4 linked regions of the Elephas maximus indicus genome follow. The protein of the gene in region 2 purifies or fractionates together with the protein of the main gene of each other region. This does not show direct contact. Links are inferred from orthologs where the notes say so. Each region holds a gene or a part of one and is shown on either strand. Other genes may lie near its edges. The genes, in order: PPP6C, AURKA, PPP6R2 and WDR62.

The links.
Region 1: the proteins of AURKA (region 2) and PPP6C purify together in Homo sapiens (affinity purification with mass spectrometry; 4 studies listed by BioGRID and IntAct, with this or other methods). This does not show direct contact. The link is inferred for Elephas maximus indicus from reciprocal best matches to the Homo sapiens genes AURKA and PPP6C.
Region 3: the proteins of AURKA (region 2) and PPP6R2 purify together in Homo sapiens (affinity purification with mass spectrometry; 4 studies listed by BioGRID and IntAct, counting the BioPlex papers as one, with this or other methods). This does not show direct contact. The link is inferred for Elephas maximus indicus from reciprocal best matches to the Homo sapiens genes AURKA and PPP6R2.
Region 4: the proteins of AURKA (region 2) and WDR62 purify together in Homo sapiens (affinity purification with mass spectrometry; 3 studies listed by BioGRID and IntAct, counting the BioPlex papers as one, with this or other methods). This does not show direct contact. The link is inferred for Elephas maximus indicus from reciprocal best matches to the Homo sapiens genes AURKA and WDR62.

Annotation. Positions count from the first base shown.
Region 1 is NC_064827.1:76,190,065-76,197,678, reverse strand, and holds the start of PPP6C (serine/threonine-protein phosphatase 6 catalytic subunit), read left to right. Parts: upstream 1-4,613; 5' UTR 4,614-4,710; coding exon 4,711-4,785; intron 4,786-7,614.
Region 2 is NC_064843.1:13,200,741-13,208,566, forward strand, and holds the start of AURKA (aurora kinase A), read left to right. Parts: upstream 1-4,824; 5' UTR 4,825-4,902; intron 4,903-4,965; exon of another isoform or gene 4,966-5,085; intron 5,086-5,349; exon of another isoform or gene 5,350-5,459; intron 5,460-7,229; exon of another isoform or gene 7,230-7,253; intron 7,254-7,826. Other genes in the region: CSTF1 (cleavage stimulation factor subunit 1), read right to left, coding at 1,495-1,663. UniProt on the Homo sapiens protein: Mitotic serine/threonine kinase that contributes to the regulation of cell cycle progression.
Region 3 is NC_064822.1:196,686,380-196,693,616, forward strand, and holds the start of PPP6R2 (serine/threonine-protein phosphatase 6 regulatory subunit 2), read left to right. Parts: upstream 1-4,274; 5' UTR 4,275-4,321; coding exon of another isoform or gene 4,322-6,167; intron 6,168-6,218; coding exon of another isoform or gene 6,219-6,382; intron 6,383-6,725; coding exon of another isoform or gene 6,726-7,010; intron 7,011-7,237. Other genes in the region: basic proline-rich protein-like, read left to right, coding at 3,729-4,274, 4,322-6,167, 6,219-6,382, 6,726-7,010. UniProt on the Homo sapiens protein: Regulatory subunit of protein phosphatase 6 (PP6). May function as a scaffolding PP6 subunit. Involved in the PP6-mediated dephosphorylation of NFKBIE opposing its degradation in response to TNF-alpha.
Region 4 is NC_064829.1:115,160,634-115,168,276, forward strand, and holds the start of WDR62 (WD repeat-containing protein 62), read left to right. Parts: upstream 1-4,631; 5' UTR 4,632-4,663; coding exon 4,664-4,840; intron 4,841-7,643. UniProt on the Homo sapiens protein: Required for cerebral cortical development. Plays a role in neuronal proliferation and migration.

The sequences.
Region 1 (7,614 bases), on a different chromosome or scaffold from region 2:
TTAAGAAAGTGATGGAAACCAAAGCCCAGAGAAAGGAAAATGACTTAGCCTTGTAAGTGGCAGAACCAGGAGCCCGTAACCCCAGCTTTGGGCAAGGAACACTAAGAATGCATTCTAGTCACCAAGCTCTACACAATGTCTCCATGCCACAATACCAGATGTGACTATCACTTTTTGCAAGGACTCACCCAACAGTCCCGAGGATGCTTTTTTCTTTCCTTTCCATTGTGGATGTCAGGAATGAGGTTTGCTCAGTGAGATGGGTCAGCAGGAGGGAACGTCTTGCTTCCAGTTTGGTAACGTGATGACTGCCACCTATTTTTCACTAGAAGGGGATACCACCAGCTTTCATTACCTATCTGTTCACAGACCCATTAGCAAAGGAAGACAATGATGCTGGTGACACTTTCCTTTTAAGCACTTCACAGTCTATAAAGAATGTTCACATCCATCTCTCTATTTGCCCAGACGTTTAGAGATGAAAAGTGAATTGCCAGATCTCCAAAGAGGACTGTAATAAAATCAAACAACAGGAGCAACAAAAATTTCCAAATGGGGACATTTTTCTCCAAGAAACTCTTAGTATATTAGCTCTCTTAAATTCCTCAGTCTTAAATGTTACCTCATCTGAAGGACCTTCCTTCCCACCTAATACTCAGACCTAACACTCAAATTGTACTCTGTGCAAAACACTTTTAAGTACATATTAACTCTACTAAACCTCAATACTAGTCTCTTCATAAGAGGCTGGTACTATTATCCTCTCTATATTGAAGCTGAGAAAATTAAAGCATAAAGAGGATAAATACATTGCCCAAAATCACACAGTAATTGGTAGAGTCAGGATTTGAAATCAGGCCATTTGGTGTTAGAGTCTGTATACTTTATGTCTACCATACTGCCAACCTAAATTCGGTCTCTTCTACTCCATTTTTCTTACTCGCAATATCCCTTTTTTCCCTTTTTAGCAGTAATCATAATTTGCAATGAAATATTTGCTCATTTATTTGCTTATTATTTGTCTTCTAGAAAACTCTAAACTCCACAAGGGCAGGGACCATAGCTGTCTTATTCACATCATGGGCATTATATAACTATTTGTTTTATGAATGAAGAAATGAATGCTTATGGGCAGCATTCATTCTGCAACAACATTTATTTATTTCTTGTATAAGCTTCATTTCTATTAATCCAAATTAGTGAGTTTTTTTTTTTTTGAACTTTAGATGAAGGTTTATGGAACAAACTAGCTTCTCATTAAACAGTTAGTACACATACTGTTTTATGACATTGGTTAACAACTCCATGACGTCTCAACACTCTCCCTTCTTGACCTTGGGTTCCCTATTACCAGCTTTCCTGTCCTCTCCTGCCTTCTAGTCCTTGCCCCTGGGCTGGTGTGCCTCTTTAGTAATGTTTTGTTTTATGGGCCCATTTAATCTTTGGCTGAAGGATGAACTTCAGGAGCGACTTCACTACTGAGCTAAAAGGTTGTCCGGGGGCCACACTCCTGCGGTTTCTCCTGTCTCCCTCAGATCAGTAAGTCTGGTCGTTTTTTGTGAGTTAGAATTTGTTCTGCATTTTTTCTCCAGCTCTGTCTGGGGCCCTCTATTGTGATCCCTGTCAGAGCAGTCAGTCGTGGTAGATGGGCACCATTAGTTGTACTGGGCTCAGGCTGGTGGAGGCCATGATAGTTGTGGTCCGTTAGTCCTTTGGACTAATCTTTCTCTGTGTCTTTAGTTTTCTTCATTCTCCCTTGCTCCGAAGGGATGAGCCCAGTGGAGTATCTTAGATGGCTGCTCACAGGCTTTTAAGACCCCAGATGTTCCTCACCAAAGTAGAATGCAGAACATTTTCTTTATAAACAACACTTATTTTTAAAATTAATTTTATTTTGAAACAACTTCAAATTTACAGAACAGTTGGAAGAATAATACAAAGAACTTCACGCAGAGACCTCATTAAAGTTTACCTAATTGTACCAAAAATATACTTTAGAGCATGAGGATCCAGTCCAGGGTTACTTTAACAAGAAATACTCACTGAATACTACTGTATTATGTAACAGTCTTCTAACTGGTCTCTCAGCTGTAACCATTGCTCTCTACATTTTCATACAGCAGCCAGAGTGAGCCTTTAAAAAAACAAGTTAGATCATGTTATTCCTTTGCTCAAAGCCCTGCAATAGTTTCCATTCCATTAAAAGTAAAATCAATGCTCTCCTTTCCTCCATTCCTCTGATCTTCTCTCCTACTCTTGCTCCGAGCACACACTTCCTGTTTCCCAAAGACTCTCGATACACTCTTGTCTTAGGGCTTCTGCACTAGCTCTTCCTATGAATTCACCGAAGTAGCTGCATGGCTAACTTCCCATCTCTTTGTTGGCTCTAAAAATACAATACTCTATCTCCCTTACCCTGTTTGTTTCTCCTCTATAGTACTTATCATTTTTTTTATAGTTATTTATTATGTTTATTGTTTATGTTCTGTTTTCCTCTGCTAAAATGTTGAGGGTAGGGATCTTTGTCTATTTTGTTCACTGAATATCCCAAACACCTACAACCCTACTGTTCTTGGTGCTAGGGATTAAAAAAAAAATAAATAAATATATACACACACACACACACACACACACATATATAAGCATGTGCTATGTCATGCATCATATATATATTATATACACACACATATACACATAGCCGTGAACCGTATAATGTCTGTTTGGGCAATGTTCAACCATATATATGCCCGCGGTCCCATAAGGTTATAATAGAGTTCAGAAATCCTGATTGTAGAACAGAACATTGTAGTGAATGCAATGGCTTCCAGTACATAACACATGTATCTCATGTCTCTTGTATACAACGCAATTGCTCTGCTAAGTGTATAATGGTACAGTACATACATAACATACAATATGTCTTGATAGTCATAGTAAACACCTGTTAATGGCTTATGTATGTACTGTACTTCCTATTGTCATTTTAATGTGAAGTTTCCCTACTTAGCAATAAAAACTTTATTATATAACATTGTATGCTTCAACTTGTAGGCAGCAGCATCCGATCTCATGTATCACACATCTCTGGAGTGTTGTACTGTTATCTGTTTAATTTTGTTTCAAAAATATTACCACACAGTGCATCATGGCTCCCAAATGCAACAAAACCAGTGCTAGTAATGGCAGCAGTAAGAGGCAAAGGAGAAGTATTGATTTGGAAGTGAAATAAAAGGTTACTTAACAACAACATTAAGGTGGAAAATCAGTGAATGCTCTTGCTCACGATTTAGCCATGTTGCTCTCAACAATCATGACGATCCTCACAAATAGAAAAAATTCTTCAAGCTGTTAAAGAATCAGTTCCACCGAAAGCTACAAGGCTAAAGAAAACGCAAGAGGGATCTACATCAGATATGGAAAAATTGCTAATGACATGGATTGAGGACCAAACACAAAAGTGAACCCCCCAGCACACTGATGATCACTGCTAAGGTACAAAGTTTGTTCGAGATGCTTAACGAAAAAGCAGGACCAGACTACAATGCTGAGTTTAGTGCTAGCTCTGGGTGGTTCACATGCTTCAGACAATGGTTTTCGCCGCATAGTGTTAAAGTGAATGGTGAGTCTGTGAGTGCTGATACAAAGGCAGCAGAAGAATTTGTTGAAACCTTAGATAAACTAATAGTACAGGGAGGTTATTTGCCCCAGCAAAATTGTATTATGGACAAAACCTCTTTATTCTGGAAGCAAATGCCTGAATGGGCTTTCATCCTTAAGGAAACCAAGTCAGTGCCAGGCTTTAAGGTTTTTAAAAACAGAGTGACAGTATATAAAATGGTGTCTGCATGTCTAAATCATATAATGTCCTATTCCACAGAATGTACGGTGGACATTAAGCGATGAGTGACTCTCTGTATATATCTGTCCCTGCCCTCCTGAGACTCACACTGAAGTATGTTTAAGCCAGCAGACCTATTTTTCAATCTCGGCTCTGGCAGGTATTCCCTGTGCCATTTTGGGAAGGTTCCTTAACCTCTCCTGTTTCCTATGAATCATTATGAGGATTCAGTGGAATAACAGCATCTGTAAAGCATTTAGCATAAGAAATATTTGAATATTTGTTTTCCATTCTTCCAGGAAGGGAAGATTGGGAGCCTGACATCTCTGCCACAGGTTTAGGCAAGGTTTTCACAAGGCCTCGGAAAGGTGCAAACAGGTTACCATGGCTAAGCTTACCCAATTTTTAACTGGAGATGTTCTGGTAAGACAGAGAGGCAAGTACTTAGAATGGTCGGAATGAGAAACCAGGAAATGGATAGGGAAGCTTACTTTGCCGTTTTTCATTGGAAAATCCTTGCCGGGTACCCAGAGGTGAAAGTCTAGAGGGAGAGACGGGAAAGAAAAGAGGAATAGATGGTCACAAATACAAACTACAAACCCCAGCATTCCCCGCGGCAGACAACTACAACCCCGGCCACTTTCGGTCGCCGGGCCGGGGGCTCTAAGGTCCTGCAGCCTGCGTGCAGCCAGAGAGGGCGTGAGCCGTGCCCAGGCAGCATGAGGAATCAGGTCGAGCTTTAACGTTGCTGCGCAGACGCCTCTCTCACGGCCGGACGTGACGTAGAAGAGTTCCGGCTTCGGCCTCTGCCGCTGCCGCCGCTGCTACAGTCGCCGCTGCCGCCGCCGCCTTTGCGGCTTCTTTTTTCTAAAATGGCGCCCCTAGACCTGGACAAGTATGTAGAGATAGCGCGACTGTGCAAGTACCTGCCGGAGAACGACCTGAAGGTGAGTCTGGCCAGGGCGGGAGCCCTGCTTGCGGGGCTCGCCCCTTCCGGCAGTGGGGCTCCCGCCGTCCCGCCCTTCCTCCGCGGTACACTGCCGGGTATCCCGTCCCGTCGCTGTGGACGGCCCGGTGCCGTACAAAGCTGCTCGGTTCGACCTGGCGTCACGCGGAAAGCCCAGGAGCCCAGGTCCCTCGAATGCCGTCCTGGTTCCCTCAGCAGGAATCCCGAGGGAAGTCGCGGCTCCTGCCCCAGAGTCACCCCTTCTGGCACCAGGGCTACCCCAGGACTCCGAGCCCTAACAGCCTTGTTTAGAAGACGGTTCCCCCCGACCTCCACCCCCGGGTTTCCCGGAGTCCGAACCGAGCCCTAGCCGGCAGTGTTCTCGAGATGGGGTCGTCTTTACTAGAGGTGACAGGAGCCCGGGGTGACTGGTGTTTGACGGGAGATACCGCCGGCGTCCCGGAACGCAGTCCTGGTGTGTTTAGGTTACTGAAGAGTGGGAAGGCGATTGGCCAGAGCGGTTTGGTACCGATGTGAGGGAACGTCAAGTTGTCCTCCATTCCAGTTGCTGTTTAGGAGTGTTGGTTTTGTTGTACTAATTCAAATGCGAATTAGGTTTATGAGTATATTACTGAGCTAAGTTAAGAGTTATCCTTAGTTGAGGTAGTAGGACCTCAGTAAATACAAGTGCTTTTCTGTCTTTTAAGTCATTCGCCCACAATCTCCTTTTAACTCAAGATCTCATTTTCTTTGTTTTCTAAAGGAGGTGAGTTGTTCTTGTTAACTGCCCAGTCCTAGTAAGTAAGAGTAAAGGAATGAATGTCAAAGTAGAGGAGTATAAGTCTTTGTTGTACTGGTTTTTAAAAAAGTGTTTCTATGTGCTTGCTAAAATAAAACCAATACTTCGGTGTCTAGAAGTTATTTACCTGTTAGTGCTAATACCTGTTTTATTTGTTCACTAAACTTTGATCTCTTATGTGGTAAGGGGATAGATAAATTGTTGGTCGTTTGAGTTCTTTTTATTCTTTAAGCTATGGGTTTAAAGCAATTTATCTCTGTTTTTGAATTCTTTATCGTAAAGAAGAGATTACTGTCTTTTTCTTCTGTTGTCTCCCTTGGTACAGAAAATTGATATTTAACATAACATCAATCAAACAAGTATGCAAAATGTTTAAGGTCACTTGTGCTGTTGGGAATGTACTTACGAAAACCAAACCCATTGCCGTCTGAGTTGATTCTGACTCATAGCAATCCTATAGGACAGAATACAACTGCCCCATAGGGTTTCCAAAGAGTGGCTGGTGGATTCGAACTGCCTACCTTTTAGTTAGCAGTCAAGCTCTTAACCACTGTGGCCACCAGGGCATGTTAATTATATATGCCATATGATAGAATTGTGGTGTTAGCGAAGAATACTACATATACCACGGACCGCCAAAAGCACGAAGAAATCTGTCTTGGAAGAAGTACAACCAGAATGTGCCTTAGAAGCAAGGATGACAAGACTATGTCTCACATACTTTGGACATGTTATCAGGAGGGATCAGTCCCTGGAGAAGGACATCACACTTGGTAAAACAGAGGGTCAGCAAAAAAGAGGAAGACCCTCAATGAGATGGAGTGACAGTGGCTGCAACAAGGGACTTAAGCATAACAACGATTGTGAGGATGGCGCAGGACCAGGCAGTGTTGCACGACCAGTCAGTGTTTTGTTCTGTTGTGCATAGGGTCACTATGAGTCAAAACCAGCTCGATGGCAACAACAACAACATGATAGAGGAGTCATTCTTGTGTATTTTTTCCCTTTTTAATAGGACTGTTTAATTTAAATGAGAACAAAGCAGATATTAGTAGTGTAGCTTTCATGCTAATCAGAGTCCTTCAGATATTAGCTTTGTGACTTCTTTCTGCTATATGCTTTTTTGGGAAACAAGAATATAACCAACACTGGGACCCAATTTATGGGAAACTAAAAAAAAAAAATTTTTTTTTTTTAACCATACCTCTTTTGGTAGTATTGTTAATCCCATAGCTGAAGTTGATCGTTGCATATCAATGAATTGATGTGAAATTTTGTTTTCTTTTTATTAATCATACTGGAACTGTTTTAAACTTTGTGTCTATAAGAAGTGTTGTCTTTTATTAGGAAAATGTGTCTTAATATTGACTTGAAATTGGATACTAAAATGATTTGAAAAATAATCAGTTGGATTTTCTTTAGGCCTCTTAGTTTGATAAACATTAGCTTTTCTTCTCACTTAGGAAATAGTAAGCCATTTCATTTTCTTTAAAAAAAAAATTGACAGCAACGAATTTCATTTTTTTTTTTTTTTTTTTGGTTTGGTACTTAGCTTGCATGTTTATAAATAAACTTTTTTTTTTTTTAATTTTGAATCTTCTGAGCAACTACTGAGGAAAAAGAACCTTAATTTTTCCATATAAGTAGAGGATTTCCATCTTTGTCTTGGTGTATTTAAGGAAATTTGATTTTATTTTTGTTTCTTGGCATGAAGTGCAAACCAAAATTAGTCTGACTAAGAAAGTATTTCAGGAGCACCTTTTCTTAGGCTTCAAAGCCAAGATACAAGATTCTGTCAGAGGAGGGAAAGAAGTTATGAGGGCCACTTAATGATCTTAATGGAAAAGATTTGTTCTAGTAAAAAAGAAAATAATGGAAATTTACCTGTATTAATTTTAGATTGACTAGAAGTTGGAGGTACTAATGAAATAGTAAACGCATAGCATGTTCTAGATCTGAGATTTCTCTTTAGCTAAATTGGAAGTGGTTATATCACTAGTACTGGATCAAACCTACAAAGAGATCCTGTGA
Region 2 (7,826 bases):
CTCTTGATGGTGCTATTGCAAAAACCTCCTAACTGGTCTCCTGACCTCCATGCTCAGACTTCTACAACCCACTCACCACATCATTCCTAAAATAATTTTTAAAATAAACTGGGTATACTCTCAAAAAAAAAGAAAAAAAAGAAGATGCCCCTGGACTGCCCAACCCCCTTCGATCATATTCTGTTTTGTGTATCACTGTGGACCTTTTTGTTTCCGTTTATGCAGACAAGACAGTTCTGTAGGGTATAAACCACAGCTTGTTTCACACTATAGATACTTCTCTGAAGTTTGCCTTCTTTAAAGTGATTTCTCTAAGCTGCAGATTCAGTCATTTTACTCTCTGCTAGAAACACATCCCCAGGTACAGTACGTATGTAGTCATGCCGCCCAGATTCCTGTTCTAGGAGGGATTGCTGCAGGGCACAACCTCGTCCACGGTGGTTACCTTCCCTGTGCAGTCCACATCCTAGGATGGGGTGAGGCCAGGTACACAGGCTTGGTTCTCTTGGCCTGACACAGACTCAGGGACAACATTCACTCTAGTGCCCTCCACTGGGGATGCTTTGTTGGGCCTGAGTTGCATTCGATTTATTCCTCTGCCCAATCCTGCGTGCTCCCTTTCCCTGCTTAGGTGCTGATCCCTATTAAACATCTCATACACAAACCCCACCTTGGCGTCTGCTTCCAGAGCTAGGCCTATAACACACTGCCTATCAGATACAGTTTCAACTCCAGCACAGTAACTGAGACAAGACTATGTATTCAGCCACTCTGTTCTATTGCGTTTTCTATAGCCAGGTGGGCGTTAGAATGCCATGTTGAACAGGACAAGGTCCTGACTGTTACTAACTTTAGCGAGGAGGAGGAGAGACGGCTTGTGCAGGAACAACCCAAACAATAAAGAACATTTCACACAGTGATTCCCTTATGAAGGAAAGAGCCAGGTTGGCTGTGGTGGAGTAACTGGGGAGTGTGGGGAAGATCATGGGATTACTTTAGAGGGTGAGGACAACTCTGAGGTGACACGTGAGCCAAGACCTGAAGGAAGTCAGTAATAACACATCAAAGTCCTTCAGGCCCTGAGGCTGGAAGTGGCTTAAAGTGTTCATGATCTGGACTTTGCTTACCCCATTGGTATCCAGCACTAAACCTGGCACGTTTAAAACAAAAACAAAACAAAAAAGAACCCGCTGCCGCCGAGTCGATTCTGACTCACAGCGACCCTCTAGGACAAAGCAGAACTGCCCCATAGGGTTTCCAAGGCTGTAATCTTTATGCAAACAAACTGCCACGTCTTTTTCCCTCAGAGTGGCTGGTGGGTTCGAACTGCTGACCTTTCAGTTAGCAGCTAAGTGCTTTAACTGCTGCGCCACCAGGGCTCCTTACCTGGTCCATAGTAGGCATTAAAACTCAACTATAATCATCTTAAAAACCTCTGATGCCTGAAAACACCCAAAACCTCGTCTCGGAGCTACGCATTCCCTGACAGGCTACCTAGTTTGATGAGATGCAGGAGCTGCTCTGAGGGGGCACACACGGACTGGGGCTTGATTTCGTTGATGAGGCCGTTGGCAATGCTGATGTAGCCATCATACAGCAGCTGGCTGATGATCAGCTTGTAGAGCTGCTGACGGTCCTTCAGGCCCACTTTGGTTCTGTACATCTTGGAGGCGAGGAAGACGGTTTCCCTGCCAGCTGCAAGAAGAGAACACGGGTGGGTGGGGAAGGGCAGAGGCATGAGGAAATCACCGGACGCAACACAGGTCTCTGGGGTCAGCCGTGTGGGGCTGAAATCCAGCTCTAGTGGCCGCATCATCTTTGGTCAGTGACTTCATTTCCCTGAGGCTCGGGTTCCCCAGCTGTTCAGTAAATCACTGAAGGTTAACAAGATGTGCACATAGGGCACTGAGCACAGAAGGCATTTGAGTCATGCCAGCTGAGATCGAGAGTAGCATTTCCCTTCAACTTACCCTCACCCTTTCCTTCTCTGACAAAACTGTTGTTGGGTGCCATCGAGTCAATTCCAACACAGTGACTCCATGTGACAGAGTAGATGTGTCCTATAGGGTTTCTTGGCTGTAATCTTTACAGGGGCACATTGCCAGGTCTTTCCTCCTGCAAAGCTGCTGGTGGGCTTGAACAGCCAACCTCTTGATTAGCAGCCAAGCACCTACAAGCTGCACCACCCGGGCTCATTCTGCCAAAACCACTTGCCTACAATTTTAATCCTTTATTGCTGTCCCAGGAACTTCCATTTCTTCTGTTAACAAAACACTGAGTGGTGTTGAAAATTGTGGACAGGTGCTACTTTCTCGAACGTCTAGGGACTACTGTTTCCACCAGCTGAGCTGTATGTTTACCAAAGTCAGTCATGCTTGTTCCTAAAATCTGTTTTACGGCAACCAATCTTGTTACTGAATTATATAATTACACAATAAATTAAAATATGAGGGCAAAAAGCTATTGTTTTAATGAAAACTAAAACAAGTTGAATGCTCTGGAAAGACAAAACATGAACCACTTAAAAAAAATATTGCCAACTAACATATGGGAAAAATGGGGGAGAGAAAAGAAAAAATCTGGAATGATTGTGCATTCAGATTGATTTCCAAGTGTCTAAGTGCTCCCAAAGTCTTAAAAGACCTGTAGTAGTCCTATTAAAGGAGCACTGGTGGCACAATGGTTTAGCGCTAGGCTGCTAACCAAAGGGTCGGTGGTTCCAACCTGTCAGTCACCAGAAAAGACCTGGTGATTGGATCCTGTAAAGATTACAGCCTAGGAAACTCTATGGGACAGTCCCACTCTGCCCTACAGGGTTGCTATGAGTTGGAATTGACTTGATGGCACAAAGTAACAGTGGACCTAATTAGATAAGACATTGATTATCAAAAATCACAGACCCAACGAACGTGTGGGCAGGTAATCAGAAGGCTGCAGATGCCTGGGAATAGCAATAAAAAAGAAAAGTTGTGGATTTGCAGCCTGAGAGAGAGAAACAGAGACAAGAAAAACCAGAGTGAACGGTAACATCAGGACCTCTTGGTGTTGTTATATTTACTTGGTATTGCTATATTCTGAAAAAGAAGATGTATGCAGGAAAGAGATGGAGAACCACCTGTTCTAACTACATAGCTTCCTCTGGAGAGTCACTGAGGTTACTGATCATAATAACAGCTAACACTAACTGAACGTTTACCATGTTTTATCTCATTTAATCCTCAAAAGCATCCTATAATGGAGGTTTTGTAATCGCCTTGTTTCCAGGTGAAGGAAAATAAGTTACTCAAGTTCTCACAAGTATTGCCTGGAGAAATCAGGGCTGGAACACTGGGGGTGTGTCTTTAGAGCCCGTGTTGTCCCTAAACACAACTTCGTAATGTTCCCTAAAAGCTTAACAACAATAATCCTGGCTAGTATTTATTTGATATTTGTCGTTCTTGTTAGTTGCCATTGAGTCGATTCCAACTATGGCAACTCCATGTGAGTACAATATGCAGGACACATTGTGTAAACAGCTTACATGCATCACCTCATTCACTCCACAGCTAGTCCTACTTAGAGATAAGCAACCTGAGGCCCAAACCAAAATGAAACCCATTGCTGTCAAATTGATTCTGACTCATAGCAACTAGAAGGACAGAGAACTGCCCCATAAGGTTTCCAAGGAGTGGCTGGTGGACTTGAACTGCCGACCGTCTAGTCAACAGCTGAGCTCTTCACCACTGTGCCACCAGGGCTCCAACCTGAGGCCCAGAGAGGTTAACTAACTCAGCCAGGGTCAAACAGCTTGCTAATGGCAGGGCCTGCGTGCTAACCCCACACTATACTGGTGGGTGTTAATAATAACAGGAACATTTACTGAGCATTCCTACATACTGGACACCGTCCTAAGCACTTCAAGAGTATGCAGAAGCAAATCTATGTACATCTATGCTTCTGTAGGCAATACTGAGACACAACGATGAAACGGGGCTCAGAGAGGTTAGGAAACCCACCAAAGTTAAGTGTGGCTGGTTAATCCACCCAGAGCTCAGAACTTAACTATTATTTTAACCCGTATCTTCAGTGTATCATGGGGTGCACAAAGAGCTCAACAAAAGAAAGCAGAGCGAGCTCCCGCTTCCCAACTCCCATTGTACGTTCACTAGCCGGGCTAGCAGGAGTCTACTTACTATCCCCCGTTTGCAGGTGGGGACACTGAGGCCCGGAGACACGAGGAATGCCGGAGTTGGGAGACCCGGGCGAGAACAAACTCTCCTTACTGTACGCGCCACAACCATCCCAAGGCAAAGGCGAACTAAGAACGGGGAGGGGACGGGCGCGACGTCCCCTTTTAGGAAGAGGAGGGGGTGTGCTGGCCCAGCCCGGCAACTCAGAAAACCGAGCTCAGGCTGCAGGCCTCTCCCCTCACTCTTGACCCTCCTGCCTCTCCTCAGTCCTGCCCGCGGGCCCTTGCAGGCCCCAACCGACCGCACAGCCACTCTCCCCGCATCCCGGAACCCCCTTACCCGCTGATCCGGCTCTCGCGGTCCCCGCTCTCTTTTAGAAAAATGGAGGCGCGAATGCTTCCCAATCGATCGCTCGGCGCGCACGTTCTCTGCGCAGGCGCACAAGGCGCCGCGCCGAGCGCTGCGCTATCGATCGGCCCCATTCTCTCGTCTGCCCTCCTCGCCATCTTACTTACTGGCACGTTCCAGAGGCTCGTTCACCTCCCCTGGATTTATTCCTTGTGCGGCAGCCCTGACGCAAGGGAACTGTTGTTTCCCAGAAAAATGCCCGATCCCGGACAGCACCGCGGGCACTAGGACGGCCCCAGGTCTGGCGGGCCGTTGCGCCACCACTTCCGGCACTTTACGGAGCGAGTGCGCCTGCGCGGATCTCAGCCTTGTCATGTGACTCGAGGTCCGGTCCTTTGTTAACCAATCAGAAGGCAGTCTCTCTTCAACGCAAGCCAATCAACTTTCGGGTTAGAGGGTTTAACTCGTATTTAAAAAGAGGAGGCTTTGCTTCCTAACGGCTAAGATCTTGGGCGGATTGGCGGCCACTGGTCGGAGGTGGCAGGTGACCAGTGTGTAGCGGGCAGGGGTGAGGCCTGGGACGAGGGGGGCTCGTCGAAGGCGGCCTCAGGGCGGGTGGCGGGGCTGGAGGCCGAGGGGCCCAGAGGAAGGTTCCGCGAGGGTCGCCCTCCCAGCCTGTCCACAGTGCCCACCTGGGCTCTTCAGGCGCGTTTCCTTCGGCGGGTGGGCACCGAGGCGCCTTGGAAATGCCGCGTGTTGTTTATTCCCGTAGAAGCGGATGGGGGTTGTTGAGTGGTGTTGCGGGTGCTTCTGATGGGATTCTCGTATTCAGTGAGCAGCTGGGTTAAGAAAAATACGGAGGGGTCTCTGCCGTCCTGGAGTTCACCTTCTGTCTGGGTTGAGGAGACAGACGACGAACTAACAAGATAACGTCCAACAGTGGTGGGTGTTCTGAACCAAGTGAAACAGTTACATGGTTTAACGGGGGTTACTTTAGATCTACTCGGCTGCTTAGGAAAGGTTGGCGGCCAAAGAAAGGTTGGCGGTTGGAACCCACCCAGCGGCCCTGCAGGAGAAAGGCCGGCAGTCTGGTTCTGTAAAGATTGCAGCCAAGAAAGCCCTTTGGGACAGTTCTACTCTGTCACATGGGGTTGCTATGAATTGGAATTGGCTAAATGGCACCCAACAACAGCTTTAGATAAAGGGTCCTGAGTGGCGCAAACCTTATGGAGCGGTTCTGCTCTGCTCACATGGGGTCACCATGGGTAGGAATTGACTGGAAGGCCGCTAACAACAACTTTAGGTAGAATAGCCTGGGAAGGGGCTTATCCTGGCTGGATGAGTGAATGGACAAAGAAATGAATGATAACCTTCTGCAGAGGCCTTCCCAGGCCAGCGTTTCTCAAACCTTGGACCACCTATATGAGATTACTGGGGCCCTTGTTAAAAATGTAAGAAGCCCTGGTGGCCCGGTGATTGAGAGCTCGGCTGCTAACTGAAAGCTTGGTGGTTCGAACCCACCAGCCACTCCACGGGAGAAAGATGTGGCAGTCTGCTTCCACAGAGATTACAGCCCAGGAAACCCTATGGGGCAGTTCTGCTCTGTCCTGTAAGGTCACTGGGAGTCTGAATCAACTCGATTGCAACAAGTTTGTTAAAAATGTAGACCCTTGCTGCATACCCAATGAATCAGAATCCCTTGGGAATAGGACCCAGGTGTGTCTACTTTCAGCAAGCTCTCCAGGTGATTCTGATGTTTCAGTGAGAACTAGTGGTCTATACCAGTGCATAGTATCATCTGGGGATGATGTTAACATTTACGATCTGATTTATTTAGTAGCCTGGGGTTGGCCCTGAGAGTCTCCATTTCTAACAAAAGTCAGGCAGTGCAGCTACTGCCCTTGACTTTCAATTCTGCCCCCTCCTTAATGTTCCTTTTTCCTTGACTTAAACACTTTTCAGCAGTGTACTCAGTTCCTTTCCACTCACTTTCATCTTTGTAGACATTCACAGGTCTCCTGTGCTGAGGGAGGAAAAAAATAAGTCCTGACCGTCAACCCAGAGTGCTGTTAAAGCTAACACTTTTCCTAGTTAGAATTGTAGGATCTCATGAAGGTCCTCTTGTCACTGCCTCCTGCATCTGGTTCTAGATCAGAATCACCCGAGGAGCAGTCTCCCTGGGCGAGTCCTCAGAATTTCTGAATCAGAATCTTATCCATTCTGCTTCTTCATCATTCATCTTCATGAGGAGAAAAAGAAAGAATAAATTGGAGCCAATGTCTGTAGCTTTTGTCAGAAGACTGTTGAGTAAATGTCCTGAGGCCTCTGTGATCTCCTTAGTCAGCTACTTGTGATTGTTAGGGAAACTGGAAGCCTCAGAGCATGTCTTAGAAATTAATGTTTGCATAATATAAACATATAAGTCCTGTTACTTTTTTTGTTTATTATTATTTTTTACTTAACCATTTTCTGTAAGAGCCTGGGCTTTTTAGGCCTCTTCATCATGAAGTTTGCATATTTATAAAATGAATATAAAGCTTTGGGATGTGCTTTCTGGTTGCATTATCATATTCACTGAGCAGCTGGGTAAGACAAATATGGAAACGTTTCTGCAGTCTCGATAGGTGATAGTGCCTGACTCACAGTGTGGGCTTACTGTGAACTTTTTGTTGATGTAGAGGCTGTCCCGGGGCTACAAACAGACCCATTCCTGACTGTGTCTTTAAGAATTTGCAGGTAGGTTGGAACAGGTGCATAGGGTTCTCATTTAGCTTTACTTTAGCGCAAGAAAAGACTTGGAGCCCTTTCGGTGAATTCAGAGCTGTGTGTGTGGCAAATGGAGGTGATCGTGATGAATTTGTTGCAGGTCAGGGGCTGGTTCAATTGTTTCACTAAATCTGTTGCTGTCCAGTCAGTTCCGACTCATAGTGACCCCATAGGATAGAGTAGAAGTGCCCCATAGGATTTCCAAGGAGCAGCTGGTGGATCTGAACTGCTGACCTTTTGGTCAGCAGCCTAGCTCTTAACCACTGTGCCACCAGGGCTCCTCATTTGTTTCAAAGCAAGGGCAAGTTTCCCCAACATTGAAGGATAAGTCTGAGTTATCCGTAAGGCGGACGTTGGTAACTGGGGACTTACTGTACTTTGTAAAAAAAACTCATTGAGTGATTTGATGCATACTGTGTGCCAGGTGCTGTTCTAGGTTCCGGGGGTGCAACAGTGAGCAAAGTAGGACTGAGCCCTTGCTGTCACAGAGCTTTCTTTCTAGTGGGGAGAGGTGCACAGTAAATACATATGTAACGTTCGTGT
Region 3 (7,237 bases), on a different chromosome or scaffold from region 2:
TCCAAGGGAAGGCTTTCTCTCTCTGTTGGCTCTGGAGGAAGGTCCTTGTCCTCAATCTTCCCATGGTCAAGGAGCTTCTCAGGTGCAGGGACCCCGTGTCCAAAGGACATGCTCTACTCCCAGTGCTGCTTTCTTGGTAGTATGAGGTCCCCAACTCTCTGCTAGCTTCCCTTTCCTCTTATCTCTTTAGAGGTAAAAGGTGGTGCAGACCACACCTCAGGGAAACTCCCTTTACCTTGGATCAGGGAGGTGACGTAGGTAAGGGTGGTGTTACAATCCCACCCTAATCATTTTAACAGAAAATTACAATCACAAAATGGAGGACAACCACACAATACTGGGAATTATGGACTAACCAAGTTGATACACACATTTTTGGGGGGACATAATTTAATCCATGACTTCCTATAAGATAAAAGGTGGTGCAAGCCACAACCCAGGGAAACTCCCTTTACATTGGATCAGTGATGTGACCTCCGTGAGCGTATTACATCCCACCCTTACCCTCTTTAACCTAACCTAATCTCGCCTCATTAACCACAGAAAGAGATTAGGATTTACAACACATAGGAAAATTACATCAATCACAACATGGAGGACAACCACACGATACTGGGAGTCATGGTCTAGCCAAGTTGACATGTATTTTTGGGGGACACAATTCAGTCCGTGACACTCATGTATGATGTTGTTGATGTCATCCCACAACTTGTCTGGGTCTTTGGTCATTAGTGTTCAATGCGTCAAATCTATTCTTGAGATGGTCTCTAAGTTCAGGTGGGATATTCTCAAGGTCGTACTTTGGCTCTCATGGACTTGTTTTAATTTTCTTCAGCTTCAACCTGAATTTGCATCTGTTTTGCAGTGGGCCCCTGGCCTTGTTGTGATTGATGATATTGAGCTTCTCCGCTGTCTCTTTGCACAGATTTAGTCCATGTGATTCCTGTCTATTCCTTCTGGGAAGTCTATGTGTATAATCACCATTTATGTTGTTTAAAAAAGGTATTTGCAATGAATAAGTCGCTGGTCTTGCAAAATTCTATCACGGGATCTCCAGTGTCATTTCCATCACTAAGGTCATATTTTCCAACTACTGATCCTTTTTCCTTGCTTCCACCTTTTGCATTCCAATCACTAGTAATTATCAATGCATCTTGGTTGCGTGTTTGATCAATTAAGACTGCAAAAGTTGATAAAAACCTTCAATTCATCTTTGGCATTAGTTTTTGGTGTATAAATTTGAAAAATAGTCATATTCATTGGTCTGCCTTGTAGGCATATGGATATTATCCTGTGACATGACTGTACTTCAGAATACATCTTGAAATGTTCTTTTTGATGGTGACAGTGATGGCATTGCTCTTCAATTTGTCATTCCCAGCATAGTAGACCAGATGACTGTCTGATTCAAAATGGTCAATCCGTCCATTGTAGCTCACCAATGTTTACATCAATCTTCAGCACTGCATCTCATTTTTAAGGACTTCTAGTTTTCCTTGATTCCTAGTTCATACATTCCACATTCTGACCATTAATGGATATTTGCAGCTGTTTCTTCTCATTTTGAGTTGTGCCACCTCAGCAAATGAATGTCTCAAAAGCTTGACCCCATCCATGTCATTAAGGTGAACTCTGCTTTTGAGGATGGAGCCCTGGCGGCACAGTGCTTATAAGCTCAGGCTGTTAATCAAAAGGTCAGCATTTAGAAATCACCAGCTGCTCCGTGGTAACCCTATAGGGCCATTCTACTCTGTCCTATATGGGTGTGTTGAGTCGGATTTTACCCTATGGCAACAGGTTTGGTTTGTCTTTTCTACTTTCAGGAGGCTACTCCTTCCCAGTCGTATTTTCAGTGTCTTCCAATCTGAGGGGCTTTTCTTCCAGCACTATACCAGACAACGTTCTGCTGCTATCCATAAAGTTTTCACTGGACAAGTTTTTAAGAAGTAGACCACCAGGTCCTTTTTCCTAGTCTGAGTCTGGAAGCTCCACTGAAACCTGTCCACCATGGGTGACCCTGCTAGATTTGAAATACCGGTGGCGTAGCTTCCAGCATCACAGCAACATGCAAGCCACCACAGTGTTATAAACCACCGAAGGGGTTGCCGAGGGAAGATACTGGCCACGGGGTGCTTGCTGCTGGCCACTGTGAACTGCAGGAGCTGGGTGCTGGAGAAGCTGCACACAAGGCACGAGCAAGGCACTGGGGGGGCCATGAATGAGGCTTTAAAGCTTATCATAATGGCAGCTGGCAAAGGAAAACTATTTGAAGGGCTCAGATCCATTCACGGAGCAGGCAATGAGACTGATGAATTTGGAGCAGAGAGGAACTAAATTGGTGACTGGCATAGTGTTTACATATTTGAGTGCTTCTATTTTTCCAGCATTTTTCCATAGTTCATGCTGAAACCTGAAATAACAATTTCAATTTTAGAGATTTGATGTTGTTGTTGGTTGCCCTTGAGTCAGCTCTGACCTGTGGTGACTTCATGCATAACAGAAAGATTTGCGGCCCGGTCCTACAACATCTTCATGATTGTTGGTGCGTTTGAGTCCACTGTTGCGGCTGTCACGTGAATTCATTTCATTGAGAGTTTCCCTCATTTTCGTTGACCTTCTACCTTAGTAAATATAATGTCCTTTTCTAGGTATTGGTCCTTCCTGATGATGTGTTCAAAGTAAGCAAGGTAAAGTCTTGCCATCCTCGCCTCTAAAGAGAATTCTGGTTGTATATCTTCTAAAACTGAAGCCTAGTGTGACTGAATTTAACAATTCCAACACATGTCAAATGGGCAGTCAAGCATTCTGTGGAGCACCTGGAAAAAATGCACCAGGTGACTGCCTGCTCAGGTGCCCCCAGTCCAGTTAGGAGACAGCATGTAAAGACGGATCTCTGCATGAGGCATGAGGGGACAGACTGCCATTCATTCCTGCTCTGGCTGTGGGGACACCAGGTGCACATGGCATTCAGGAGACACCCAGCTGCCCCGGTGAGGTTGGTTTTCAGCCAGAGAAGCTCCCCCAGAGTATAAACCAAAACGAAACCCACTGCTATTGAGTCGATTCCAACTCATAGCAACCCTACAGAACACAGTAGAACTGCCCCAAAGAGTTTCCAGGGAGCACCTGGTGGATGTGAACTGCTGACCTTGTGGTTAGCAGCCAGAGCGCTTAGCCACTATACCACCAGGGTTCGACCCCCCCCCACCCCATCAAGGTATAGGAGAACAGTGACCTTCCTGGAACACATTAGGCAACCCCCTCCCCCAAGTCTGTTTTGAAGGGTAGTGCAGATGCCCCTGGGTGGAGTGAAGAATGGCTGAAATGAAGTTGATGGGCGATTTGGAGAAGTCCAGGGATTCACACTCAGCAGCCAATATCTAGGTGGGAGGTCAGACCTTCCCCGGGCAAGTAAGAGAAACTTCCCCAGGGTATTAACCAAAACCAAACCCACTGCCATGGAGCTGATTCTGACTCATGGCGACCCTACTACAGGACAGAGTAGAACTGCCCCATAGGGTTTCCAAGGAGCACCTGGTGGATTCGAAATACCAACCTTTTGGTTAGCAGCCGTAGCTCTTAACCACTACGCCACCGGGGGTTTCCATAGTATCTCACAGCAAGAATTAATTATGCTTCTATAACAAAATGTAGCCAATGCTTCAGGGAGCAAGGTAAGAGCAAGAAGCTGCACCCCAACCCACCGTGCTCCGACGCCGCGGACACGGATGTCGTTGCACGAGAGAGCTGGGCGGGCTGCGTTTTACCCCCGTCGCGGACACCCTTCCGAGGCCGGCATTCCGACACACCCAAGCCTTCGTGCTCCTGCCCAGGCTTGCGCTGTACCTCATTTAGCGCCCCTCGGAAAGCTTCTGGAGCGGTCGGGCGCCGGGCGTGCGGAGGAGGCTTCCCGGGTGCAGCGAAGCCCCCTCCCGCCCGCGGGCCTCGGGGGTGCGCTCGGGCCCCGCCCACTGCGCCGGCGTGGCGTCCGAGGCCCCGCCCTCAGCCCCGCCCTCAGCCCCGCCCCGACCGCGCTTGTCTCCGCCCTCAGGCCCCGTCCCACGACTTCGAGCGCGCGCGTCTCCTCCCGCGGGCCCCGCCCCGACTGCGCAACGCCCGCAGGCCCCGCCCCTCAGTCCCGCCCCGCCCTCAGCCCCTCCCCTGCCGCGCGCGTCTCCGCCCGCAGGCCCCGCCCCCGGCGCGAGCGCGCCCAGCGCCGCCGCCGCCGTTGCCGCCATTTTGGAGCGACCGAGCGCCGCCCGCGGCCCAAGCCGGTTCCGAGGCGGTCCCGAGCCGCTGGCCGGCCGCGCCGTGTCCGTAGGCGCCCCGCCCGGCCGGGCCCATGCGCGTGCAGCCCGCCCGAGGTCGCCCGGGCTTCGCCTCCGCCAGCGCCCTGGCCTCCCCCAGGCCTCTGAGGAGCCGCCGAGACGCCCGACTCGGCGGAGCCGGTGAGTGCGCCCGCCCGCGCGGCTTCCTCAGACCCGGCCCGCGGGCCGGCGGGGGGCGGGGCTCCGGGTCGGCGTCCCCACCCGCTGTCAGGCCCCGTCGGTGCGTCAGTGTCGCTCTCCGTCAGTGTCCCACGTCATTCCCCCGCCTGCCAGTGCCCCCCGCGTCAGTCAGCGCCCCCGTGTCTGCTCCTCCTACCTGCCGGTGCCCCCCCGTCAGTGCCCCCCGCCTGCCAGTGCCCCCCGCGTCAGTCAGCACCCCCGTGTCTGCTCCTGCTACCTGCCAGTGCCCCCCGCCTGCCAGTGCCCCCACCTGCCAGTGCCCCCCGCCTGCCAGTGCCCCCCGCGTCAGTCAGCACCCCCGTGTCTGCTCCTGCTACCTGCCAGTGCCCCCCATGTCGGTGCCCCCACGTCATTCCCCCGCCTGCCAGTGCCCCCACCTGCCAGTGCCCCCTGCGTCAGTCAGCGCCCCCGTGTCTGCTCCTACCTGCCGGTGCCCCCCATGTCAGTGCCCCCACGTCATTCCCCCGCCTGCCAGTGCCCCCCGCCTGCCAGTGCCCCCCGCCTGCCAGTGCCCCCCGCGTCAGCCAGTGCCCCCACGTCTGCTCCTCCTACCTGCCAGTGCCCCCCGCCTGTCAGTGCCCCCACGTCATTCCCCCGCCTGCCAGTGCCCCCCGCGTCAGTCAGCGCCCCCGTGTCTGCTCTTCCTACCTGCCAGTGCCCCCACCTGCCAGTGCCCCCCGCGTCAGCCAGTGCCCCCCGCGTCAGTCAGTGCCCCCATGTCTGCTCCTCCTACCTGCCAGTGCCCCCCGCCTGCCAGTGCCCCCCGCGTCAGCACCCCCGTGTCTGCTCCTGCTACCTGCCAGTGCCCCCCATGTCAGTGCCCCCACGTCATTCCCCCACCTGCCAGTGCCCCCTGCGTCAGCCAGTGCCCCCCGCGTCAGCCAGTGCCCCCATGTCTGCTCCTCCTACCTGCCAGTGCCCCCCGCCTGTCAGTGCCCCCACATCAGTCCCCCGCCTGCCAGTGCCCCCACCTGCCAGTGCCCCCCGCGTCAGCCAATGCCCCCATGTCTGCTCCTCCTACCTGCCGGTGCCCCCCATGTCAGTGCCCCCACGTCATTCCCCCACCTGCCAGTGCCCCCCGTGTCAGCCAGTGCCCCCACGTCTGCTCCTCCTACCTGCCAGTGCCCCCCGCCTGCCAGTGCCCCCGCCTGCCAGTGCCCCCACCTGCCAGTGCCCCCCGTGTCAGCCAGTGCCCCCACGTCTGCTCCTCCTACCTGCCAGTGCCCCCCGCCTGCCAGTGCCCACTGCCTGCCAGTGCCCACCACATCAGTCAGTGCCCCCCACATCAGTCAGTGCCCCCGTGTCTGTTCCTCCTACCTGCCAGTGCCCCACGTCAGTGCCCCCTGCGTCAGTGCCCCCGTGTCTGCTCCTCCTACCTGCCAGTGCCCCCCGCCTGCCAGTGCCCCCCGCGTCAGTGCCTCCCGTGTCAGTGCCCCCGTGTCTGCTTCTCCTACCTGCCAGTGCCTCCCGTGTCAGTGCCCCCACGTCTGCTCCTCCTACCTGCCAGTGCCCCCCACCTGCCAGTGCCCCCCGCCTGCCAGTGCCTCCCGTGTCAGTGCCCCCGTGTCTGCTTCTCCTACCTGCCAGTGCCCCCCGCCTGCCAGTGCCTCCCGCGTCAGTGCCCCCATGTCTGCTTCTCCTACCTGCCAGTGCCCCCCCGTCAGCACCCCCCATGACAGTGCCCCCATGTCTGCTCCTCCTACCTGCCAGTGCCCCCCGCCTGCCAGTGCCCCCCGCATCAGTGCCTCCCGCGTCAGTGCCCCCATGTCTGCTTCTCCTACCTGCCAGTGACCCCCGCGTCAGTGCCCCTGGCGTCAGTGCCCCCATGTCTGCTCCTCCTACCTGCCAGTGACACCCGCGTCAGTGTCCCCAGCGTCAGTGCCCCCACATCCATTTTTCCTGCCACTGCCCCCCACGTTAGTGCCCCCACGTCCATTCCTATGTGCCAGTGCCCCCCATGTCAGTGCCCCCACGTCATTCCCCCGCCTAGCAGTGCCCCCCACATCAGTGCCCCCACATCCATTCCTTGTACCTGCCAGTGCCTACCACATCAGTGCCCCCACATCCATTCCTTCTACCTGCTAGTGCCCCCCATGTCAGTGCCCCCATGTCATTCCCCTGTCTGCCAGTGCCCCCCACATCAGTGCTCCCACATTCTTTCCTTCTACCTGCCAGTGCCCCCCATGTCAGTGCCCCCACGTCATTCCTGTCTGCCAGTGCCCCCCACATCAGTGCCCCCACGTCCATTCCTTCTACCTGCCAGTGTCCCCATGTCCAGGCCTCCCGCCTGTCAGCGTCCTACACTTCAGTGCTCCCCACCTGTCAGTGCCCATCCACGTCCACGCTTCCCCCACGTCAGTGCTTCCGCATTGGTGCCCCCACATCATTGTCCCCCACAACATCTGTACCCCCTGCCTGTCCCTGCCTCCCCACGTCAGTGCCCCCCCCACGTCAGTGCCACCCGACCTCAGTGCTTTCTGCCTGTCAGTGTTCTCCACATCGGTGCCCTCTGCCTGTGCTCCCGCGTCATTGCCCCCATGTCTCTGCCTCCTGCCTCTCACTTCCCCCACCTCAGTGCCTCCTGCCTGTCAGGGCCCCCCACATTAGTGCCTCCATATCTGGGCCCCCCACCTGTCAGTGCCGCCCCACATCAGTGCCCCCATATCTGCGCCCCCCTTCTGTCAGTGCCCACCACATCAGTGTCCCCTGCCCTGTCAGTGCCTTCCACA
Region 4 (7,643 bases), on a different chromosome or scaffold from region 2:
AGGGGGATGATTTAGGGACAGACTGACCAGTGCCCATCTTGTTTATGGATCTTATCCCTTCTAATTAGTCAGCCAAGGGAAGGATGTGTTTGAGAGGCCCTGGCTATACAGAGGCGCAAAACTCAGTTACCCTGATAATCTCAGGTGGCGAAATTCAAGTACCACACCTTCCAGAGCCAATATTTGCAAGGAGTGTATCTTGCTCCAACTAAGTTGATATCTTATGTGAGACTCAGTATCTAAAATTAGAAAGAATGTTTCAGTACACTCCTCAGAAGAGAGAGAAAACCATCCTGCACCCAGAGGGTCCTGGATTTAAGCCAGTTGAGTCTCCCTAGCTAGCACACCAGACAAACGGCGGTGGCGGGGGCGGCGGGCGAGGGGGATGCAGGACACAAAACAATATTCCTCATCCAGATCCTGACCAAAAACATGCAGGGGTCGAGACAAAAGACCCAAAGGAGGCCTGTGCTCTCGTGTGGTGAGGACTCAGCCCCAGGACAAAACGACAGTCTCCCCAAGTGTCCTCCGGGTGTGGGGGTCAAGGGCTGTGCCCTCATGCAGGTGGGGACTCAGCCCCAGGACACAGGGAGAACACCACAAGGCCTAATAACACCCGTTACTGAGGACACAATCCACCACTTAGTAGCTACTCCAAAATGAAACTTAAAAATAGGTACCTGTTTCACAGTGCTGTCGGAATGTTTCTGTTCTCCAACAGGGGACTCATGGGTTGTCCAGTCCGGGGTTGGTGCCGCCCAGAAAGTCTTCCCCGCCCAGTGAAGGGTGGAGGGTGCCCTTCGGAGGAGGTTTCAGGACCTAACTTACCCTGAGCTGGAGTCTCCACTGAGTCCCATCTGGGGTGCCATATGAAACTGTCAACTAATAGATTCTTGTCAAGCAGACCAGCGAACTGAAGTCAGCCAGGCACAGGGCTGGAAGAACAGAAGGGTTTATTCACAGTTTGCGAACTGGGAGGCAGGCATGGTCTCGTGACCCAAGGCTGCCAGCTCCCTGAACCAGGACAGATCTGCTCCTTTTATAGGGAGTTACATACATATGCATGAACAGTGAGAGGAGGACCTTCAGTCTTGTGATGCGCACAATCCGCATAACTTTAGTGAATGGGTTTTTGCATGTAGCTCTAAAAATACTGCACACAGCCCTAAAAAAAAAATGGTGACGGCTCACTACTGCCACCCCTGGAAGGTGATACAGGAGGTAGATTGGGAGTTAGTGTGCCTACACCTCTGCCTCCTGCTAGCAGAAAAGAAGAAACCTGGGGAATCAACCAATCATGGTGAAATGCTGTAAAAGTTGTAAGAAAAATGCAGCGAAAGTAGACTTTTCTGAAAAACAACTATTATGAGATGGTTAATAACCCTTAATAACCCTTTCATGACTGCCCACTTCAATTTCACATAGAGTGGTTGTCAATGGTCACAGAAGGCCTCGCTGAGGTGATAGAAAAGTAAGAACTTTTCATGCAGAGGGAACAGCATACGCAAATGCCCTGGGGCAGTGACGTGCCTGCCATTCTAGGGAATGGTTGGGGCACAGTGAGGGGCAGAAGAGGGGAGAAGATGAGGTCACACCGGTATTGGGGAACCTGCTCCTGCAGGGCTTTGTGGGCCTGCTTTCTGCCTGTTCCAGCCTTATCTTTTTGTCTTTTATGGAGTGAGATGGGAGCTGTGGAAGGGTTCTGAGATAAGGAGGGTCCTCACCTGACTCAGGTGTTAACACAGGTCCCCTGGCTGCCTGTGGGGAACAGGCTGTGGAAAGCAGGGAGACCAGTGAGGAGGCTACTAAAATAGCCCAGTTACAGGTGCTAATGACCAAAACCAAGGTTGGGGCAGAGGAGGAGGTTAGAAATGGTCAAATTTTGGGTTGATTTTAAAGGTAGAGCCAACACGATTTCCTTATGGACTGAATGAGAAAAATGTGCCCTAGCCCAAACAGCCTTAGACCACAAATATAAACCCACAGTCCCACAAAGTCAGCTTTATTTACCACGGCGATGAGGGAGACTGCACACCAAACAAAGGAAACGAGAGAGTCATTGGCTTTGAGAGCAGGGTGACGCATAAATGAAGCGGTATCTGAACAGGTTTGGAGTAAAGCAGGATTGTGTGTGAAGGGACCAACGTCAGGTCTGGATTGAGAAGGGGGCCCAGGGCCCTGTCTCCCTGGGGGCAGTAAAGGCAGATGTGGACTACTGTGTCCAGAAACCCCCTATCTGAAGCTCTGAACCTAGACTGTAAATAGAGACTGCTTCTCTTTGTCTAAGTGACTTAGACCCTCCAGGTAAAAGTGAGATGTTTTATTTTTACGGATATAATTTCAAACAGCAAAGTTTGTAATAGTCCATGATTTTAGAGAACAAAATTTCTCAGCGAGTAATAAAGCAGTGGAGCCCTGGTGGTGCAGTGGTTAAGACCTCAGCTGCTAACCAAAAGGTTGGCAGTTTGAATTCACCAGCCGCTCCTTGGAGACCCTATGGGGCAGTTCTACTTTGTCCTACAGGGTCGCTATGAGTTGGAATGGACTTGATGACAACAGCTTTAGTTTCTGGTTTTGGAATAAAGCAGTAGTCACTCAGAGAAAGGGAGCTGTGTCATTTACAGAGGCAGCATGTCCCTGGAAGAAATATTTTTTCCTATTAATTTCGTCACTGGCTTTTTCCGTGTCTGTTATTCCAACCCAATAAATGGGAGGGCAATTTTTTTTTTTTTAATAGCCCATGCTAATTTTTCATCCTTAAGTGTTTCAAGTCCTCTTCACTTTCAGCAAGCAAGGTTGTGGCATCTGCTTATCGCAAGTTGTTAGGAAGTCTTTCTCCAATCCTGATGCCCCATTCTTCTTGGACCCACGATCAACACCCATGGAAGCAGCAGTCAAGAAATCAAATGACGCACTGCATTGGGCAAATCTGCTGCAAAAGACCTCTTTAAAGTGTTAAAAAGCAAAGATGTCACCTTGAAGACTAAGGTGTGCCTGATCCATGCCATGGTGTTTTCAATCGCCTCACATACATGCGAAAGTTGGACAATGAATAAGGAAGACCAAAGAAGAACTGACACCTCTGGATTACGGTGCTGGTGAAGAATATTGCATATACCACGAATTGCCAAAAGAACGAACAAATCTGCCTTGGAAGAAATACAGCCAGAATGCTTCTTAGATGCAAGGATGGCTAGACTACCTCTCACATACTTTGGACATGTTATCAGGAGAGATCAGTCCCTGGAGAACGACAACCTGCTTGGTAAATTAGAGGGCCATCGAAAAACTAGAAGACCCTCAATGAGATGGACTGACATAGTGAGTGCAACAGCGGGCTCAAACCTAATGATTGTGAGGATGGCTCAGGACTGGGCAGTGTTTCATTCTGTTGTACATCGGGTCCCTATGAGTCGAAACCCACTCGAGGGCACCTAACAACAACACACTAACTTTTATTTTTTCAAACGTGAGAAAAGACAAACGTTAAGATGACTCCAGTCTGCGTGGCTGAAAGGATGGAGTAAGCTATTAACTGTGATAGGGAAAGCTATGGAAGGGTTGGGGAGACAAGGTCAGGAGCTCAGTTTTAAGTGTGAGACACTTCGAACTCATCGCGATGGCGAGTGGACAGTTCCATAGAAGAGCCGGGACCAACCTCTCATTTCCCTACATGCCTTACCGCCCTTTGCCTTCGCTCGCTCCATTCACTACCTAGTTTATCGTCTACTCCTGCTTATCCCGCATCTGCACCTCGGCACGTGCGGTCCTCGCCGCCGGGAACAGCGTCTCTCCACCTTGCTAAGCCCTACTCCCGGATGACACTCTCGAGGGGGACCCGGTGGCCCGCCTCGTCCCCGCAAGGCCCGCCCCGCGCTGGCGCTCACCCGCGGAAGCTCGCATGGCTCGCGGCGCCGGAGCAGTTCGGAGCCCGGCAGCACCGGGGCAGGGCGATGCAGCGTCGCGGCGTTTAGCCGGGTCGGCAGCCCGGAACCCGCCCGCTCGCGCGCCTCTCGCCTGCCTCACGTGACGGCCCGCGCGTCCTGTCAGCGCAGGAGCAGGGAAGGCGACGCCTGCGTGCTACGCGCCCCGACGCGTCGCCACGGCTACGTCCTCGTCGCGTCGCGAACGGGGAAAACCACGCACGTCTCCGTAAAGCCGGCTTCCGGTGTCGTCACGGCGTTTCTGAGCTTGCGCCAACCGAGTGGCTTGGCCGCCAATCTCTTCCGGCTCCACCCTGCGCCTACTTCCGGTGGCTGACAAAGGCGCGGTTAGTCAACCTGGGTGGCCGTGAAAAGCGAGGTGAGGCGGTCATAGCCTTACCTCGTAAAGTGAAACATGTATGGCCAGTGAATGAGACAAACGCAGACTGGATGAAAAGCACCAGCACGTTCGATCAGAGCAACAAGTAGGCTCGAACTCAGGTCCTTCCTATCAAAGGCGGTACCCTTAGCTGAGGCTCCCCCGCGCTGGGGACTCCGCCCCGCCTCCTAGCCCTCATTGGTCACAAGTGCCGCCCGGCAGCCCTGCGATTGGCCAGACCGGCGGCCCGCCGCGTCCAATAGGCGGCGGCGCCGGATTTCCCGCGCCCTTCGCCGTTCGAGTGGGTCTTGCCGGCAGTGGAGGTTGATGCGCGTAACGGTCGCCCGACCCCGCTGCGACGATGGCGGCCTTGGGCCCCGGAGGCTACGCGCGGAACGACGCGGTCGAGAAACTGTCGTCTGTCACCGCGGGGGTTCCGGCGAGGAGAGGCCAGCCCTCCCCGCCCCCCGCCCCACCGCTCTGCCTCCGGCGGCGGACACGACTCACGGCGGCGCCGGAGGACACGGTGCAGAGCCGGGTGAGAAACTACTTGCCCTACCCATCCCGGTTGCCGGCTTCCCTGGGCCGCCCCTGGTCCCGCCCCTGGTCCCGCCCTCAGCCGTTGGGCCCCGCCCACCAGCCCGGGCTCTTCCCCTCCGGCTGCTCCCTGGCCCCGCCCTCCCTAAGCCCCGCCTCCCCAGGCGAGGCCCCGCCCGCCTTGCTGTCTCCTCCCCCCGGGTCCTGCCCATCATTCCTAGCCCCACCTCTCAGCCCCTGATCCCACCCCCAGCCCTTGGGACGTTGTTGGCTTCCTGCCTGGTGCCGCCTCGCGTGCCTTCTGGGTTCTGACAATGGCCTCCTAGAGTAGGCTTCCCCAGCCTCCCTTAAGCTCACTCAATCACCTTTAGACGTTTCCTCTTGCACTTTTGTGGGCCCCGCCCCGCTGAGTCTTCGGGGTCTCTAACAGGGTTCAGGGAACGCTGGTGGCGCAGTGGTTCAGGGTCAGGCTGCTAACCAAAAGGTCAGCAGTTCGAATCCACCAGGCGCTCCTTAGAAGCCCTATGGGGCCGTTCTTTTCTGTCCTACAGCGTCGCTAGGAGTCGGAATTGACTCAACGGCAGCTGGTTTTTTGCCATGGTTCAGAGTCCCTGGGTGGTGCAACCTGATAATTGCCCGGCTGCTGACCAGAAGGTCAGAGGTTGGAGGTTAAGCCAGGGGGATAGCCTTCTGGAATATCGGGCATTGAAAACGCTGTGGAGCACAGTTCTGTCCTGACACAGTGAGGCTCTCATGAATCAGAATCCACTCCGGGGCGAGAAATGGTCCTTTTTTTTTTTTTTAAAGTAGGATTCAGCCAGAATCCTACCAATCCTAATTCTTTCTCAGCTCTGTTCAGCCTTCTCTCACTCCCTGCTTCTTCCTTCCTTTTCTTTACCAAGGTGGGATTCTTATTCCATATTGCCGCTCAAAACTATGAGGAAAATGTGAGTAATATTTGTAAAACCTCAGCAGTACTGGCTCCAGAGGGAGGGAGTACAGCAAAGTGGTTCCTTAAGTCGGGTAGTAAGTAGGAGTTCCTTTAGTGTGGCATCAGTTTTTAAAATTATCTTCCAACTCCTCTAGCTACAAAGTGTTTTTGTAAAATGGTGGTAATAAAAACCGTACCTTGGTGTGGTAGGGAGAGGAAGTGAAACGAGGACTGTGACCTGCTTAGCACAGTGCATGGCATCGGATAAAGGGTGGATCAAAACAACACACAACAGCTGCTGTGCAGTCAGTTCCAACTCGTGGAGACCCCATTTGTTTCGGAGTAGAACTGTGCTCCGTAGTGTGGCTGTGACCTTTCGGCGGCAGATTGCCAGGCCTTTCTTCCAAGGCGCCTCTGGGTGGGTTGGAACTTCCAACCTTCGGTTAATAGTTGAGCACTTAACTGCTTGTGTCCCCAGGGACTTGGTGGTAGCCGTTGGTGAGTCTCATTCCTTCTCAGTGGCTTCCTGCTGCACTCTGAATGTATCCCCTATTCCTGCCTGCAAAGCCAGGGCAAGTGGCCCCCTGCACACCTCTCTGGTTGCAGCTTCCCTGGCCTCCCTCACCAAGGTCCAGCCACACTGCCAGTCTTCTTTCTGCCTCCCTGAGGCTCCACGCTCTTTTCTGACTCGTAGCCTTTGTGTTTGGTCCGTCCTCTGCCTGGGCTTTTTGCTGCAGCATACCTGGCTGCCTCCTTCTCATTCCTCAAGTGTCAGCCTGTGGAGCTGTACTGTCTGGGTTTGTGTCCTCACCTCGCCACTCCCAGGTGTGGGACCCTGGGCCTCAGTGTTCTCATCTGTAAAATGGAGGTGATAATACTACCTTCTTCCTTGGATTGTTGTGGAGGCTTAAGTCTTTCATCCATATGAAAGTAGTTAGGTACTTATTCCATCCATATGAAAGTATTAGGTACTACCCTGAGAGGCCTTCCTGAACCCCAGTCTGAGCAGACACCCCCCTTAATCTCTCATCCTTCACCCTGCTCTTCATAGCCCTTAGCTTATCAGTTCCTGGAAGTGCCTTGAGAGCGCCTAAGCTGCATGTGACTGTAGGGGAGCAGCAGCAACGACTTCCGAGAGGCGGGCTAGCAGAGCGGGTGAGAGTGCAAGCCCTGGACTCGGACGCCTGGGCTGAGGATCTAATCCTGCGCTTTCTGTCAAGTTAGGAACTTTTCTGCGCCTCCATTCCTGCATTTGTAACATGGGGATAATAAGATGACTGCACTCTCTCAGGGCATTTGCAGGGATTAAAAGAGCTGTTCCATCTTAAGCACTTAGAACAGAGCCCGGCACATTGCAGGTACTGTTATTGTCAGCTTCTACCGTTACGTCCTTGTGTGTGTTGAGTAACAGATGCCGTTTATCTTTCTTGTTTGGCAGCACAGAATCCCTCTGGTTTGTAAAAGATTTAGTCCAAAATGACAGTCCGTCCAGTAATGCTGACTGACAGAGAAAACCATGAGAGTGCTGTTGCCCGGCTGAATGGGTGACTGGGCTGAAGTTACTCACTGGGCCTCTGTTTCAGATGGGGATGGTCTAATGATAGTGACTGGATCACAGGATTATTATGTTTGTTGAATTAATACAGTTATGGTATTCGAGCAGTGTCTGACTGCTGGTAAGTGCTCAGTATATGCTAGCTATTGTTATCCTAGGAGCCCTGGAAGCTCAGTGGTTGAGAGCTTGGCTGTAACCAAAAGGTCAGCAGTTCAAATCCACCAGCCACTCCTTGGAAGTCCTATGGGGCAGTTCTACTCTGTCCTGTAGGGCCACTATGAGTCAGAACCAACTTGACAGCAATGGGTTTTTTATTAT